4 linked regions of the Saccharomyces cerevisiae S288C genome follow. Changing the gene in region 4 together with the main gene of any one other region gives a genetic interaction. Each region holds a gene or a part of one and is shown on either strand. Other genes may lie near its edges. The genes, in order: PUT7, SLM3, PGM1 and ERV15.

Region 1 (5,056 bases), on a different chromosome or scaffold from region 4:
TTTTAGTGTCTCGTTTTCGAAATTTTTCACGTCAAGAGTGGAATAACTTTTTCTCCAAACTTCCAAATCTTCAAAAAATTTTCGTACTAGGGGCAATTGATCAATGGATTGCTTCACTGACCTGGAATCGTTTTTCAATAGCTGTAAAGTCTCTACAAATTGAGATTCAATTCTTCGCAGCTTTAGAGACTGATTGATGAATTGCACACCATGGTCATTGGTTGATGGAGCCGCCGCATGCACACCTTTTGTATAAAAAGAGTCGTTATTGAAAAGAGGTAAATTTATTTCCGACTCCTTGATTGTATAAGGTTTCCCCACAGCAACACAAATCATTCTTTCCAACAGGTAAACACACCAAAATAGTCGCAGTTTCTTATTTGCAAATGGATCATTAGGATACCATTGATTTAGATGAAGTTTCTTCTTGGATATGCCCATGACATCCTTGATTATGTCATATAGTATCAGAGAATCTCTATCAGTCCTAATAATGTAAAGGACAAGCAATGTCAACAGTTCTATTTGCTGAACATAATTCAAATGTAGACCACACTTAGTGATGTGACGGATAGCGGTGGAGAAATATCGGTGAGGTGGAAACCCCTTGTACTTACCTGTGGTCATCAGTAAGTAGGCGCTGATGCTGAAGACAAGCCACATTCTGCCGGATAGAAAATGAAATTCTATTTCAGAATACGAATGTGAATTCGACGGTGGTGCTGCGGAAGACGTGGCGGGAGAAGATGGTGGGATAAGAATCTTGTTGTGGAGGTAGTGGTCATAAAAAGTATAGATTTCTTGTTCGTCTAAGATAGGGTACTTGAATTGTAATCTTGTGAAAAAAGTGTCCAAGAAGGAACGTGACAGCTTCTCATTCAGTTCAAAAATAGGGTCATACATCAAAAACTCTTTTTTCAAATTGTATTTGGCAAAAATACACTTAGTGAAGTCCAGCGTCTCTAAAGGGTCATTCAAAAGGCTCGCGGATTGGCAGATAGCATTATTGTTGTTTATGTTGTTCGTACTGGCCGATGTATCGTTAGTGGCCGCATTAACGTTGCTGCCGTTATTGTTTGTGTTCTCCAGGGGTTTGTTGGAAGGAGATGGCAGCGGCAGTATGACCATATTGCTGCTGTTCGGTCTAGAGTAATCAGAAGTGTTGTTACTGAACAAATGAGAAACCTTCTTGTACTGGGATAATTCGTAGTTGTACTGGTTGCATCCCGGCGATAAATCGAGCAAAGTCTCCAAACTTTTTAGTTTTTTCTCCAAGAAAATCGTATACTGATCTTTGTCTTGCCTCATCAGGTTTGGATTGGAATTTGTCGTGACGGACTTTATCGTTTTCCTGAATTCATTCGCGTCGCCAGCATCAACATTACTATTGCTAGTGGAAATGGGTTTTATTATCGTCATGTCATTCAGAGAAGTGGCAGCGCCAGCGCCAGCGCCAATACTGCTATCTTGCAGCTCACGTTTTATTACAGGATGAGGTGTAGGAGGTACAGTGCCAGCTGTAGGGGTGTTGTTGTTGGTGTTACTGTTCGAAGTGGAAGAAGAGTACTTGGAGGGCTGCACGCACTTTATTCCTGCTTTCAAACAGGCGGTACAACTGGGTAATTTATGGTCGCATCGTTGCTTTCTTCTTCTACAAAGAAGACAAGACCTGGAACGGCCCTTTTTGTCTTGCAACAAGACGTCTGTCCTGTTACCGGCCAGCTCCAGTTCTCTCTTCAACTGTTGTATTTTCTCCTGGCTAACATTCTTCCTTGGACGGCCCATTATTATTTACGTGTATTGTTGGTAGTTAGCCCGAAGATTATGAGTACGTGAAATACACTTGTCTTTATGAAAGAGTGGAAAAATGGTGGGGAGTAAGTTATACTATTGACGTGTAAAAAAAAAAAAAAAAAAATGTTAATGGAACGACCGATCTAAAGAACCATATATAATGAATGACTAAAAAAAGCAAAATAGTTAAGAATCCAAGAAAGATACTAAGAAAAGGCGAAAAGAAAAAGAAAAAGTATGTCCGCTAACAAAGATTAGCGTATAAGCACCACACGATGCGATTCAGGTCTCAACGTGCAGTGTGCAGGAGCAGGAACTATTCAATGTATTGTTGTTCCAGGGTTTTTGTTCGCAACCCACGTCTTGACCGACGGTACCCGCAGGTGAAAATTTTAGCAAAGTTACACTTTTTTTTTCATTTTTTTTTTTCTTTTCTCCTCCATCTAATTTCACCTGCGGTTACCGGCGGAATAACTCGCGCACCATTTCTCTGTCTCGGGCCTCGCGTTCCTCTTTTTCGACTCGAGCGGCCTCTTCACGCTGCTCGTACTTCGCGACGCTGCGCCGGCGCTGCGAGCGTTTCTGTTGACGGTGCCACTGTAGAAGCGCCTCCTCTCTGGACGGCATCGTGTCGTACGACGCCGCAAGTTCGCGCGCGAGCTTAAGCCGGGCAAGCTTTCGATTTTGCTCACGTGACCGCGTTTCTTGGCACTCGACAACGATCCCAGTGGGTTCATGCCGTAGTTGTACCTTAGAATTACACTTATTAATCTTTTGGCCACCGGGCCCTCTGCCGCCATGAAGGAATTTCTCAGTGCATTGTGCTTCCATCTCTGGCGTGAACTTTGGTCGCGGTGGTAGCTTGTTCTTTTTAATCAGCAGCACTGCGGCACTGCTGATTGACCTCTTACTCGCTCCCCTCATCATAGTTTACTAGTCTCGGATTCTTCTGCGCTTTTTCCAGGGTCGCATAGCTTGTAGGTTGGTAGCATAGACTTATATATAAACTCATATCCGTTCTAGGAACGTATAGCGCGCTATGGTAGTCCGGGGAAAATGCACAGTTTAGTTAAGTGTATAGTAATTTTATCGATAAAGGAAGAATGGAAGAGGTTTATGTATACATGTAAACTCTGAACATCTAATAGACTAATGATGCGGTTAATACGTACATTGCCGCTTCGATGCTTCAAAACTAGAATACGGCGGCAAGGCTCGTTGTTGTGTTTGCGGTGCTTTAGTTCGTATTCAAAACCACTTTTGCAGAAATCAATGTCATTGAAAAATATCCAGTTATCAGACCTATCCTCATCGCCATTATCCAAGAACAAGGAGAAGCAGGAGAAGCCAGAGAAGGAAAACGAAGGAAAGCACTCCATTGGCCTGTTAGACAGATTTTCAGAGGACTTTATTACTCAGGGCAATGGATTGAAACCTACTACTTCACAAAATCAATTGGATACTATAAAGTTTTATCAAATGCTTCGTGAAAGAGGCAATTTTTCCGATGAACAATGTAAAATTATCATAGCTCTATTGTTGCAACTACTAAATGATCAGTTTTATTCCTGTTACAATGATTTGTTCTTAAGGGATATGGAGCTGAATAAACAATCACATTTGTTCAGCTCGCTAGAAACAGAATTGAAATTCGCAATTCAAAACTCTAGAGACACGCAACTAAATGAGCACCACTTGCAATTATTAAAACTCAAGAGAGAACTTAACTCAATCCATGATGAACTGAATGAAATCATAATAGATCTTTTGCAAAAGGACGCTAAATTAGAATTTAACAATCAAAAATTAGAAAACACCCTTTTGTATCGACAATTAAACCTGAAATTGAACGACTGTTCTAACAAGATTCAAACCAAGATACTGGGGGATATCAGGTCACATATCGAAAATTTAAGATGGCAGACAACCAGAAGCGGTCTTTTGGTAATATTAGTCCTTGTTTGTTCGATTATGATCGGTGTAAGCGCATCTAAGAAGGAACGCCCAGGTTTACAGGAACCTGAGGAACCTGAAATTTTAGCACCAAAGGAAGACATTGATACTACCTTCCCTCAAGATCAACATGATATAGATTAATTAGCATACATATTGTCTGTACATAAGTATATTGTGTGTGCGTTTTGTTTCACTGAGAAAGCGGACGTCATAAACGATGCTTCCTTTGTTTCGAGCCCAGCTGCCTAAATCTTTTTAAGGGCTCTCCATCTACCCAATACTTGAGAGATTCATTTACTTCCACTGAGTTAGCCTTATTGAATGCATCGATGTGGTTCGATTTCAGCAATTTTTTCATCCCTAAGCAACTGGGCAGGTATAGCCCTTTCACTTTCTCCCTCAATTCTTCTAAGACCTTTGCATTGAACGCTTCAGCGTTTGAAGATGGCATGTTAAAATTCTTGCTTATAAATCCGTTCTCGCACATTATATCGTACTTGAATGGTTTGTTGAACATGAGGCATTCATACGTCGTATTTGTGCCAAACTTCAATGGCAAAGAGACCGTTGTACCACCTTCGGTAATTAGTCCTAAGTTAGCAAAGGGGTATAGCAAATAAACCTTGTCATTTATACTGTACACAATGTCACATAACGCTACCAGTGCCGCGCTCAACCCTATTGCTGGTCCATTCAAACAGCAAATTAAAACTTTGGAATGCTTGATGAAGGCATCAGTGACATAAACATTTCTAGCGACAAAATTTGACACCCACTTGCTTGTTTCCGAAGGATATTTATTGGTATCATCCCCTTGGGCTTTTGCAATACCCTTGAAATCAGCACCACTGGAAAAAAATCTACCACTGCTTTGTATAATTGTAAAATATACATCACGATTTCTGTCCGCTAGTTCTAGTAACTCTCCTAAATAAATATAGTCTTCACCTTCTAGTGCATTCAAATTGTCAGGGTTCATTAAGTGAATAATGAAGAATGGTCCTTCAATACGATAACTGATTTTCTCATTTTGCCTAATTTCTTGCGACATATTGTTCTTCCTTCCTTTACTGTGCGAGCAATTTGTGCCATACACTCCAATTATCTATCCATATGTTCATCTTTCAGTTCTTATATATAGTGCTTCACTTTTATTAACCGCTCTTGGGGTAAAAGAGAAACGGTCACTGCTACAGCCTTTCGGAATAATATTTCTTATGCCCGTCGCCAATTTCAGATTCTTTCCTTCGTGCCGCATTTATTTTATTTTTCAAAATGACGAGAAGTTAAAATCTAAAATCAGGAA
Region 2 (5,192 bases), on a different chromosome or scaffold from region 4:
ACCGAGCCCAAATAATTTTTTCTTTTCTTTCTCTTCCTCTAGTACGTTATGGTTAAAGTCTCCAATTTGCGCTTTAATTCTTTTACTTTCACTGGTAATGAAAATATAAATACTGAGGTAGACTGCAAATATGAAAATAATAATGAAATATCTGGGACCCCAGCTTAAAACAATTTTATACCAGTACGGCTTGGGTGGTAAATAGCACCATGCACTCCAAGGTTTGTAGCCACCTTGCCTGGGAGAATCGGGAAAGTTGTAGTTATTATTATCCAGTATAATAGTGGTGTCAGAATCGTCATTGAGTTTATTATAATTAATGAAGGCTAAGCTTGCTAAAATGGCAGGTACTAATGCAGTAATTGGCCAGATATATGACCTTTTTTTGTACAAGCCACCCTCCATATTTCCCGATCTTTTATTTCGCCATTTCCAATTAGGCTTGAAGATCAAAATAGCAAAATGTATGGCGAATATCATTATGGCCATGTCTGCACCTTCGATGGCAAAGGCCGTAAACCAACCCAAGGTATTAAAAAATGCAGGTGTTGCATACACACTATTATTAATAAGGATAATCATGGGATAAATCATCAGAATAAAAGCTTTAAGAAAGTCGCAAATTATCAAAAATGCGATGAGATCATGTCTGAAGACTTTTCGTCTCTTATCCATTTTAGAAAGGAAGAACATTCCGAGGCAACCGGCAATAAGGGACACGGCAGACGCAGTTATAGCTATTATTCTTAACTGCAACAGTTGCGGAGCCGTGAATGTAGAGGTCATCCCCGGCAACCCCAGCAGCTGGTTAACCGTGGTAGTGTTAAGCTGTCGGAGAGAATCAACTCTCTTTTCTAGTAAGGATGACCCTTTCAACGCGTTTAAATTCGGGGGAAATCCCTCAGTTATCATTTTGAGTTGGAGAGTTTGCTTTATTCGTCACACTTCGGATCACTTGTTTGTCGTTTTTTTTTTTTGGTGACTCTTACTGCTTTTTATAGACACACACACACACACACACACACACCTTCTTCTGGATACCGTAGAGAAAGGGATGTAGACAAATAAAAAAGGACAAAAGCTAGAAAAAAGACGGAAGAGGACGTGCGATTGCGTTGAATATGACCTTCGCAAATAAATATTAATAAATATGACGTTTTTGCCGCAATGCTAATTCTATAACCCACTCCTTCGTTGCCTTCTATGCTTTAATTAAACAATGGGTCCGGCTCAAACCTGGAAGGAAGATTTATAAATCTTGAAAAGAAAAAAAAGTGTGATTTAAAAAAATGAAAAAGAAAAACAAGAGGGCAAAAAAAAATGAACTACTTATTGAGACATGATTCAAGGGAAAAGACCTTCATATATACAGATTACTTTTCGAAATGGTCAGCCGCTTCATGAGCTCTTCTTGGCTGTATCGTACCACCGTGGTTCAATTAGGCAAGTATGTTGCTAAGATTAATTGCTGCGGCGCATCGTATAAGGTGATATACTAAATTCATTATCATCACTATGCATGGGTGTCATTATTATTAACATGGGAAATGGGCCCACTCCCAAGGACTCTATCGTCGATATATAGACAGCACGATTGCCCAGGAGTTATGGCACGTTGTTTTGAGGCTAAGTGTATTGTTATGTCGAGGTTGTCGGCAGAGCGATTCAGTTTGCACGATTTAATTTGGACTGGGACCTGCAGGGACCGGAATTGTAATGTCAAGGCACCAGTATTTTGGAAAGCGTTTATAGTGTCCTCCCTGGGGCCCAAAGACGAAAAGTTTTCGATTCGCATAGTGTCACTGTATAGCGCCGGATTATCTCTTCCTCTGACTATCAAGATTTCGTTGGTATCCCTTAGTTTTTCACTGACAAACCAGGTCCCTTGGTAATTAGGGTCAGCTTGTGGCATGGATATGCCCACTTTCTGTCCAATTGTGTAAGACCACAATCCATCGTGTCTGCCCCATGTCGTTTTGGCACCGGATTGTGGGTCAACGGTAATGATATCACCCGGTGAACTGGGTAGGTAGTGCTTTAAAAAATTCTTGAACTTCCCATGCTGGGAATTGTTGACGAAGCATATGCCCTGTGAATCAGGCTTTTCTGCAGTCGGGAGGCCTGCATACTTCGCTAAATCTCGTACTTCTGGTTTCGTTAGATGGCCAATGGGTAGCAACAAAGATGACAAAACAGTGGAGTTGATTTGTGAAAGGTAATAGCTTTGATCCTTGGGCCTATAAATGCTTCTCAGTAAATGGAATAATCCTTTTCCATTCATTTCCTGCATAACTCGGGCGTAATGACCAGTAACAAGCCAATAGTTACCCGTCCCATACTTCTCATCCAGCCACTCTCTCAGCTTGCCGAACTTGACGAACTTGTTGCAACCGATATCTGGATTGGGTGTCGACCCTTCACTGTAGCCTCTCAACATTGGTTCAAATACATCTATCCAATAATCTTGCTCAAAATTAACTTTGTCAACTCGGATGTTCAAATGCTTAGCGACACGGTTCACATCTCTCCAATCCCTCTCGTAGCATGGCTCCTTGCCAGGGTCGTCCAAAGATTGTGATTCAGACCAGTTCTGCATATATACTCCTCGGGTATTTGGAAATTCTCCGGCAAATAGTGCTGCCGCCACAGAGGAATCTACCCCAGATGACATTGCCACTATCACGTTGTCAAACTTTGCCGGTAGCCGCTGTGGTCTGTACGGTGAAGCACTCCTCCGTCCTATTAAATTTAAATATCTTGCCAGCATTGTTATCTGACTTGAATCGATTGCCAAATCAATACGCTCACATTTTTAACGTTCTTGTATGTTTCCAAACTTTCATTCTTTTACAATAAAGCAATGTTTTGCCTCAACTATTGAAAGAAAAAAATAAGAGACCAATTGTTACTACCCGGCGCTCTTAAAATTTTCAAGCGATGAGATGAAATTCATACAAAATGGCTTTACAGAGAGTTACTAGTACTTCACTAACTTCCTACTGCTTGAAGTAAAGTCACTAAAAGTACTTTTGTCATTTAAGTTACCACCACATATCTCTTTAACCTAGAATATGGCAGGCGTGCAGAAAAGAAAAAGGGATCTCGAAGATCAAGACGACAATGGAAGCGAGGAGGACGACATCGCCTTTGATATTGCAAATGAAATTGCCTTAAATGATAGTGAGAGTGATGCTAACGACTCCGATAGTGAAGTTGAAGCTGATTATGGTCCCAACGATGTCCAGGATGTGATCGAGTACAGCTCAGATGAAGAAGAAGGAGTGAACAATAAGAAGAAGGCTGAAAACAAGGACATCAAGAAAAAAAAGAATAGTAAGAAGGAAATAGCAGCATTTCCAATGTTAGAAATGTCAGATGATGAAAACAATGCATCTGGTAAAACTCAAACCGGTGATGATGAGGATGATGTCAATGAATATTTCTCCACAAATAACTTGGAGAAAACAAAGCATAAAAAAGGTAGTTTTCCCAGCTTTGGCCTATCCAAAATTGTATTGAACAATATTAAAAGGAAGGGATTTCGCCAACCCACTCCTATTCAAAGGAAGACTATCCCATTAATTTTGCAAAGTAGGGATATTGTTGGTATGGCACGTACCGGTTCTGGTAAGACTGCAGCATTCATCTTGCCAATGGTGGAAAAATTGAAAAGTCACTCAGGTAAAATTGGCGCCCGTGCAGTCATCTTATCGCCTTCCAGAGAATTAGCCATGCAGACTTTCAACGTTTTCAAGGATTTTGCCAGAGGAACAGAACTAAGAAGCGTCCTCTTGACTGGTGGTGATTCCTTGGAAGAACAATTTGGCATGATGATGACCAACCCAGACGTTATTATTGCAACACCTGGTAGATTTTTACATCTGAAAGTTGAAATGAACCTCGATTTGAAGAGTGTTGAGTACGTTGTTTTCGATGAAGCTGATAGGTTGTTCGAAATGGGTTTTCAAGAACAGTTGAATGAATTACTTGCATCTTTGCCTACAACAAGACAGACTTTGTTGTTTTCTGCTACTCTACCTAATTCATTGGTTGATTTTGTTAAGGCTGGTTTGGTTAATCCAGTTTTGGTTCGTTTGGACGCGGAAACGAAAGTTTCAGAGAACTTAGAAATGCTTTTTCTATCCAGTAAAAACGCAGATAGAGAGGCGAACCTATTATATATTTTGCAAGAAATCATAAAGATTCCGTTAGCCACTAGTGAACAACTTCAAAAGCTGCAAAATAGTAACAATGAGGCAGATAGTGACTCAGATGATGAAAATGATCGCCAAAAGAAGAGGAGGAATTTCAAGAAGGAAAAGTTCCGTAAACAAAAAATGCCTGCAGCTAATGAACTTCCTTCTGAAAAAGCAACTATTCTGTTCGTTCCAACAAGACATCATGTGGAATACATTTCTCAACTCTTAAGAGACTGCGGATACTTGATTTCGTACATCTACGGTACTTTGGACCAACATGCTCGTAAACGTCAATTATATAATTTTAGGGCGGGCTTAACTTCCATTTTGGTTGTTACAGATGTTGCTGCAAGAGGTGTCGATATTCCAATGTTAGCCAATGTTATTAATTACACATTACCTGGTTCATCAAAAATTTTTGTACATCGTGTAGGTAGAACTGCAAGAGCCGGTAACAAAGGTTGGGCATATTCCATTGTCGCTGAAAATGAATTACCTTACCTATTAGATTTGGAGCTATTTTTGGGGAAAAAAATTCTTCTAACACCAATGTACGATAGTCTAGTCGACGTGATGAAGAAAAGGTGGATAGATGAAGGAAAACCGGAATATCAATTTCAACCCCCAAAGCTTTCTTACACAAAAAGACTCGTTCTAGGTTCATGTCCAAGACTGGATGTTGAAGGCTTAGGTGATCTTTATAAGAATCTGATGTCCTCTAATTTTGACCTTCAGTTGGCGAAGAAAACAGCCATGAAGGCAGAAAAACTTTACTACAGAACACGCACTTCCGCCTCCCCTGAATCTTTAAAGAGAAGTAAAGAGATCATTTCTTCTGGCTGGGATGCTCAAAATGCATTTTTTGGTAAAAATGAAGAGAAGGAAAAATTGGATTTTTTGGCTAAATTGCAAAACAGAAGAAACAAGGAAACGGTATTTGAGTTCACCAGAAACCCAGACGATGAAATGGCAGTGTTTATGAAAAGGAGAAGA
Region 3 (3,844 bases), on a different chromosome or scaffold from region 4:
ACTTGACTCGCACATGCCTGCTGGGTCATATCCGAATCTGCAAGAAATTAGGATTACAAATATTTATTCAAACGTTGCACAACCACGCAATAGAAGATAATATCTGTAAATTTTAATCGCTTTCATCTGAAAACACTGAGCCTCTTCTTAATTTTCACGGACTTTTTCGCAGCCCAGGTTTGACCGGCTAAGTACGAACCTCTTTTGTTTGGAATAAGAGTTTGGTATTAATCAATTGTTGGTACAAAAGATTAATAGTATTACTTGTGTTTTCAGAATATAATTGTCCGTGAGCGTCCTAACTGTCATCGAGTTTATAGGAAGCTAATTAGTAAGGACTGACCATGCAAACCCAGCAATGAATGAAAGGATATAAACGAGGGAAGAAATGGTAGCAGTATTAAGTAAAATTGTCCATTTCCCCTCGTGAAATTATCCAAAACGCGGCAGAAGAACTTTTAAGTTATCTACTGTACATAGTGTTATTGTCCTCACGTGAATTGAATTGAAACTTTTTCAGAACATTATCGCTGAACTATAAATGAAATTTTGTAATGATTGTTCTGATCCCATCTTACTAAAAGCATTATTGTGAAGTATAAAATACAATAAATTTCTTCTCAAAAAAACTTGCCGTACATGATATGGAGAAATAGGTGAATTTAGGGATAGTAGTTATTATAATGAGCCTATTATAGAGAATCTATTATCGATTTCTAACGGTCGTATCAATCTGTTGTATTACGGGCTCGAGTAATACCGGAGTGTCTTGACAATCCTAATATAAACAGTCTTAGGGAAGTAACCAGTTGTCAAAACAGTTTATCAGATTAATTCACGGAATGTTACTTATCTTATATATTATATAAAATATGAATCATACTAAGTGGTGGAAGCGCGGAATCTCGGATCTAAACTAATTGTTCAGGCATTTATACTTTGGGTAGTTCAGCTAGGGAAGGTCGGGTTTTGTCTCATGTTGTTCGTTTTGTTATAAGGTTGTTTCATATGTGTTTTATGAACGTTCAGGGTGACGTATTGTCATACTGACATATCTCATTTTGAGATACAACACAATCACGTTTAAAAGCCTTGTTGGCGCAATCGGTAGCGCGTATGACTCTTAATCATAAGGTTAGGGGTTCGAGCCCCCTACAGGGCTTTCTTTTTAAAACAGGATGCTAAAGCCGACACCGTTCAAACACAAGTGGCAGCTTTTCTCGAGAACAGCAATGCCCACAGTTTTATTTACAATTTTACACTATTGACGTGGAGATTTTTTTATCCCGCATATGACCTAGTAGAGGATCTCTGTCTTCCCCTGATAAATGTCAAATGTATGACGTTACCACAATTGTATCACGGTGGTTTCAGTCTGTCATGAGGAATAAGGGCATTCAGTACCGACAATGCTATACTTGTAAATAGAAAAATGATGTTCTAAAATCGGCATTCTCGCTATTTGAGATTTTGTCTTTTTTTACCTGGTATTTCGCGTTTATATTACGGATGCAAGAAAAGGAGAAGGGCGCATCACATCGATTTTGGTCTACCTATAAACATTCTCTCTCTCATCCACTTTCGGTTCAATAGTGCAAAAATAGGTAACTAACAACTCAATTGAATAGTAAATGTCACTTCTAATAGATTCTGTACCAACAGTTGCTTATAAGGACCAAAAACCGGGTACTTCAGGTTTACGTAAGAAGACCAAGGTTTTCATGGATGAGCCTCATTATACTGAGAACTTCATTCAAGCAACAATGCAATCTATCCCTAATGGCTCAGAGGGAACCACTTTAGTTGTTGGAGGAGATGGTCGTTTCTACAACGATGTTATCATGAACAAGATTGCCGCAGTAGGTGCTGCAAACGGTGTCAGAAAGTTAGTCATTGGTCAAGGCGGTTTACTTTCAACACCAGCTGCTTCTCATATAATTAGAACATACGAGGAAAAGTGTACCGGTGGTGGTATCATATTAACTGCCTCACACAACCCAGGCGGTCCAGAGAATGATTTAGGTATCAAGTATAATTTACCTAATGGTGGGCCAGCTCCAGAGAGTGTCACTAACGCTATCTGGGAAGCGTCTAAAAAATTAACTCACTATAAAATTATAAAGAACTTCCCCAAGTTGAATTTGAACAAGCTTGGTAAAAACCAAAAATATGGCCCATTGTTAGTGGACATAATTGATCCTGCCAAAGCATACGTTCAATTTCTGAAGGAAATTTTTGATTTTGACTTAATTAAAAGCTTCTTAGCGAAACAGCGCAAAGACAAAGGGTGGAAGTTGTTGTTTGACTCCTTAAATGGTATTACAGGACCATATGGTAAGGCTATATTTGTTGATGAATTTGGTTTACCGGCAGAGGAAGTTCTTCAAAATTGGCACCCTTTACCTGATTTCGGCGGTTTACATCCCGATCCGAATCTAACCTATGCACGAACTCTTGTTGACAGGGTTGACCGCGAAAAAATTGCCTTTGGAGCAGCCTCCGATGGTGATGGTGATAGGAATATGATTTACGGTTATGGCCCTGCTTTCGTTTCGCCAGGTGATTCTGTTGCCATTATTGCCGAATATGCACCCGAAATTCCATACTTCGCCAAACAAGGTATTTATGGCTTGGCACGTTCATTTCCTACATCCTCAGCCATTGATCGTGTTGCAGCAAAAAAGGGATTAAGATGTTACGAAGTTCCAACCGGCTGGAAATTCTTCTGTGCCTTATTTGATGCTAAAAAGCTATCAATCTGTGGTGAAGAATCCTTCGGTACAGGTTCCAATCATATCAGAGAAAAGGACGGTCTATGGGCCATTATTGCTTGGTTAAATATCTTGGCTATCTACCATAGGCGTAACCCTGAAAAGGAAGCTTCGATCAAAACTATTCAGGACGAATTTTGGAACGAGTATGGCCGTACTTTCTTCACAAGATACGATTACGAACATATCGAATGCGAGCAGGCCGAAAAAGTTGTAGCTCTTTTGAGTGAATTTGTATCAAGGCCAAACGTTTGTGGCTCCCACTTCCCAGCTGATGAGTCTTTAACCGTTATCGATTGTGGTGATTTTTCGTATAGAGATCTAGATGGCTCCATCTCTGAAAATCAAGGCCTTTTCGTAAAGTTTTCGAATGGGACTAAATTTGTTTTGAGGTTATCCGGCACAGGCAGTTCTGGTGCAACAATAAGATTATACGTAGAAAAGTATACTGATAAAAAGGAGAACTATGGCCAAACAGCTGACGTCTTCTTGAAACCCGTCATCAACTCCATTGTAAAATTCTTAAGATTTAAAGAAATTTTAGGAACAGACGAACCAACAGTCCGCACATAGAATTATTGGTCTTGAACAAGCACTAATTTTCCAAAGATGTTTTAACTGATCTTAATTTATATGTAGAGGATATATGTAGTATATCTATTTTTTGCTGATTGACTTATCAATTAGCTTCATAATACAACATTGTTTTTGTTTTTCGTTACTCGCGACTTTCTTCGCGGCAGAGCCGCGCTACAGGAAAACAAGATCAAAACATGCCCCTATTGGAAGGCTTAAAAAATGCTTATCCCGAACGAGCCAACGGTAATCAACACTATCGTCATACCAACAACAGTTGAGTTATTTTTCGCTCCCATACTTTTTAGAATTGGTTTGTTTGTGTTTGGTTAAATTTCAAAGCCTTTATATTCTTTGATATAGATTACTCTACAATTTCTTTGTATACAGCGGGAAATTGACACTTCAAAGTTCCTCTCATATCAACAAACATTAATACAGTTCCTGAAAATGTATTCTTGGAAGTCAAAGTTTAAGTTTGGAAAATCTAAAGAAGA
Region 4 (4,317 bases):
TTTAATGGTGTATCCAAATATTGTTAAAGGACTAGTAGAAATGATAATGATTGATTTCATTAGCTATTATGGCAAGGGTCAACATCGTTGCAGTATAAGAAGCGATTGCTCTCATTTTTTTACGTGTCCTGTGTTGCTCTGTATTGTCTTGACTATTTGCGTGTTCATTTAAAGAAAAACCTCAGTATGGATAGAGACACTAAATTAGCTTTTAGGCTGAGGGGCAGTCATTCAAGAAGGACAGACGATATAGATGATGATGTTATTGTATTTAAGACGCCAAATGCTGTTTATAGAGAGGAGAACTCACCTATTCAATCTCCTGTTCAACCCATTTTGTCTTCACCAAAACTTGCGAATTCTTTCGAGTTTCCTATTACCACTAATAACGTAAATGCGCAGGACCGTCATGAACATGGGTATCAGCCCTTGGATGCAGAAGACTATCCCATGATCGACTCTGAAAATAAAAGTCTTATAAGCGAATCGCCGCAAAATGTTAGAAATGATGAAGACCTTACTACTCGTTACAATTTCGATGATATACCCATTAGACAGCTATCATCGTCTATCACTTCTGTGACCACAATTGATGTTTTATCTTCTTTATTCATAAACTTATTTGAAAATGATTTGATTCCGCAAGCTTTGAAGGATTTCAATAAAAGTGATGATGATCAATTTAGGAAACTATTGTACAAATTAGATCTGCGACTCTTTCAAACGATATCAGACCAAATGACCAGAGACTTGAAAGACATATTAGATATCAACGTGTCGAATAATGAGCTCTGCTACCAACTGAAGCAGGTACTTGCTCGAAAAGAAGATTTGAACCAGCAGATAATATCGGTACGAAATGAAATTCAAGAGTTGAAAGCCGGTAAAGACTGGCATGACTTACAAAATGAACAAGCCAAACTGAACGACAAAGTGAAGCTAAATAAGAGGCTAAATGATTTGACTTCTACTTTGCTAGGCAAATACGAGGGAGATCGCAAAATTATGAGCCAAGATAGCGAGGACGATTCAATACGGGATGACTCAAATATTCTGGATATTGCACATTTCGTAGACTTGATGGATCCATATAACGGACTTCTGAAAAAGATAAATAAAATTAATGAAAATCTTTCTAACGAATTACAACCAAGTCTATAGGGAATTGGTTCAAAAGATGTATATATATATATATATATATATATATGTATGTATATATGTATATATGTATATATGTATTACTTCCATACTAAGGAAGTTGTGTTATAAGGTCATTTTTATGTGGTAGACATACTTCATAGATATGCACAAATCTCTCTTTTTTTTTCCTGTTGTCGCTATTAGCTTATCAAATTTGCATCATTTTCAAGTAACGCTGTGACCATTCTGTAGAAGTAGAAAAAGAATATGAGAAGGTAAAATCCCAATTTTAAAAAGCATTCAATTTTGCATCTACCCAATTTTCTGAAAATATCCGTGGCGTCCAGTAGATGTGTTTTCTTGTAGACTTTACTTGCGTTATATGCTAGAACAGGGACATTCAAGAGAAATACGAACCAGTACCCGTTAAAAAGAAACAATGCAGAAATGAAAGCTTGTAGAATTGCCTCTGGTACACTCAACCTATTCACCCTCTTACACAGTTCGATTGAGTTGATATAGTCTGCTTCAAGATCACCATATAATATAGTAAAGTATATCTGGCAAATGGAATTCAAACAATTCAGTATAAGACCCGTCACGAATAGCGATAATCCGGTTCCTGACATCTTTACTCTTGGCTTCGAACTTCTTGGTGCCTGCAGTTAGTTTTATCTTTAGTAAAAAATGATAATGAAAGTGCTTATATGAATAAAGGTATTAATGTCTTCGTATTTAGCAATGTAATTGAAAAATCATTCGTGGCCCACGACAATATTTCCAAATTATCACAGCTTTCGATAGAAGTGAACGATTTTGAATTAGAGAGAGTAGTAGTGAGCTAGACGTACTGTGTTTTGAGAATTGAAGTTTGTATAGCAAAACTATACTATCATAATGCAACATTCAAGAAAAATAATGGTATAGAAACAAAAAATAACTCCGATACGGGGAGTCGAACCCCGGTCTCCACGGTGAAAGCGTGATGTGATAGCCGTTACACTATATCGGATAATAACTTATGTTTGATTTAACCTTAAAGATTTTCTATGTCAAGTTTAAACTGGAGGGCTTTCTATTGCCGAACAATCCTAGCTAAAGGCTTTTTTCCCTATTTACAGAAGAAAATGTAATGACTGAAGATTTTGAAAGGTCTCGTTTGATGGCTAGCAGGCTACACCTAGAATTACCCAATTCCAAAGGTTGGTCATCATAGGAAAACAACCAGCATGAACCTTACCCTAGTTCTCTTGCTACTATTTCACATCATCAGGTGATGTCAACTCAGCTTATTGTCAGTGACGACGGATTAGCATTGATACCTGATGTCATTTTAACACGTGTGTTGGATGGGATCCTATACACACCCAAAGAAGATGATTTTTACAACGACACCACCACCATGTATTATGTTTTTGCCACCTGGGGTGATCAAAGTTGGTCATCCTTCGGTTATGATAATACAGCAAGCCTGCAAGAGCACGAAAGATATGTTTTCTAACTTCTTGCCGAGCAGGGAATATTGGGGATTTGGACCGTTGGAATAAATGGGTCCTCAATATTGACAGGAGTCGGTTTTGGAATGAGAATTAACTATCATTTAGTGATGGTAATCCTATTACTAGAATATTATCAGATACAATGTTAGAGGACAATAGGAATACATAAAATAGAAGAAATAATGATGGCATTACATCGAAATATCGATTACACTATATCTTGGAGGAGAACTTTTTATTTTATTTTGTATATCTGATGCTATAGCCTCTAACAATAAGTTAATCCCAACAACTATCTCAATATTCATATAATCGTCTGAGAGATTGATAACAGCTAGTAATGTAGCTAACAGTCAAAAGATAATAAATGATTCATCTTCCAACAGCTTGCGGGGAAAGTTTTTCACACTAATGTGCGGTGTTGTTTTCCTTAACAGGCTCTGAGCAAAATATGGAGAGAGAGGTCTCATTTACTTTGCCATTCTTCATTTAAGCTTGAGGCTTGTTCTACTGAAATGTTAAGTTCTCAGAAGCCAACTTTGGATCAAAGGGCTTTGTTAGTAGCAAAACGCTATTTCTATTGATTTTGATTATTTTTCGAAACATTAAGAGCACAATGTATATTAATTTTCCCTGATGAATAGTTAAGATGATTAGATGGGCTAGGCGCTTAAAAATGAGAAACAGGTGAAATTTGAGATAAATGTTGATTTCGTTGTTGCTAAAGGCTATAATATCAGGTATACAAAATATACTGGAAATATACCTCGAGAATCTTGGAATCCACGAAAGGGAATAGATATTACTCCATAATAATATTATGTTGGAACGAGAGTAATTAATAGTGACATGAGTTGCTATGGTAACAATTCAATGCTTACATCGTATATTAATGTACAACTCGTATACGTTTAAGTGTGATTGCGCCTATTGCAGAAGGAATGTTAAACGAGAAGCTCAGACAATACTGAAGCTGTGTTAAAGACCTATTAGTTGAACATGTTATGGTAGGTACATATATGAGGAATATGAGTCGTCACATCAATGTATAGTAACTACCGGAATCACTATTATATTGGTCATGATTAATATGACCAATCGGCGTGTGTTTTATATACCTCTCTTATTTAGTATAAGAAGATCAGTAATTATTTCTTCATTAATACTAATTTTTAACCTCTAATTATCAACATATTATTTCTCCTTTCGTTTTATCTGATGTCATTCATTGATTGCCAGCAACTATCCCAAACCTCATGTGATTCTCGGATTCCTTACCACGAAAAAACAGATGTGTAAGTGTATTTGAACACACAATAATAAAAATGATTATCATTCCCAGATGGAGGAGCCCATTCCAAACATAGCAAAATTCAGCACATCCTCTTCGTTAGCATTTCCGTATGGAAGCAACCCTCAGTCCAACAAATACCGTTTAAACAAATGAGCGACATTTATTCGCTTTTTCTAAAATAAAGGTCCCCGCTGAAACTTCTTTGCATACAGTTCAAATATTCCACCGTTCTCTTATATGTGGGGCTGGCACTACTTCGTATAATTGACTATACTATCTATATTAGTCTTCCCACATGTAATAGAAAGCTCGTATGGCGCAGTGGTAGCGCAGCAGATTGCAAATCTGTTGGTCCTTAGTTCGATCCTGAGTGCGAGCTTCTTT

What was found.
Region 1: mutations in ERV15 (region 4) and PUT7 together harm fitness more than expected from each alone (negative genetic interaction), as found in Saccharomyces cerevisiae (2 studies listed by BioGRID).
Region 2: mutations in ERV15 (region 4) and SLM3 together harm fitness more than expected from each alone (negative genetic interaction), as found in Saccharomyces cerevisiae (2 studies listed by BioGRID).
Region 3: mutations in ERV15 (region 4) and PGM1 together harm fitness more than expected from each alone (negative genetic interaction), as found in Saccharomyces cerevisiae (2 studies listed by BioGRID).

The regions. Positions count from the first base shown.
Region 1 is NC_001144.5:702,240-707,295, forward strand, and holds PUT7 (Put7p), read left to right. Parts: upstream 1-2,946; coding exon 2,947-3,891; downstream 3,892-5,056. Other genes in the region: YLR278C (uncharacterized protein), read right to left, coding at 1-1,785; RSO55 (Rso55p), read right to left, coding at 2,254-2,721; ECI1 (dodecenoyl-CoA isomerase), read right to left, coding at 3,959-4,801.
Region 2 is NC_001136.10:391,146-396,337, forward strand, and holds SLM3 (tRNA-5-taurinomethyluridine 2-sulfurtransferase), read right to left. Parts: upstream 2,768-5,192; coding exon 1,514-2,767; downstream 1-1,513. Other genes in the region: GPR1 (Gpr1p), read right to left, coding at 1-912; ATP-dependent RNA helicase DBP10, read left to right, coding at 3,072-5,192. UniProt on the Saccharomyces cerevisiae protein: Catalyzes the 2-thiolation of uridine at the wobble position (U34) of mitochondrial tRNA(Lys), tRNA(Glu) and tRNA(Gln).
Region 3 is NC_001143.9:201,910-205,753, forward strand, and holds PGM1 (phosphoglucomutase PGM1), read left to right. Parts: upstream 1-1,631; coding exon 1,632-3,344; downstream 3,345-3,844. Other genes in the region: serine/threonine protein kinase YPK1, read left to right, coding at 3,798-3,844. UniProt on the Saccharomyces cerevisiae protein: Minor phosphoglucomutase isozyme that catalyzes the reversible interconversion of alpha-D-glucose 1-phosphate and alpha-D-glucose 6-phosphate. The mechanism proceeds via the intermediate compound alpha-D-glucose 1,6-bisphosphate.
Region 4 is NC_001134.8:643,002-647,318, reverse strand, and holds ERV15 (Erv15p), read right to left. Parts: upstream 1,770-4,317; coding exon 1,341-1,769; downstream 1-1,340. Other genes in the region: AME1 (Ame1p), read left to right, coding at 187-1,161.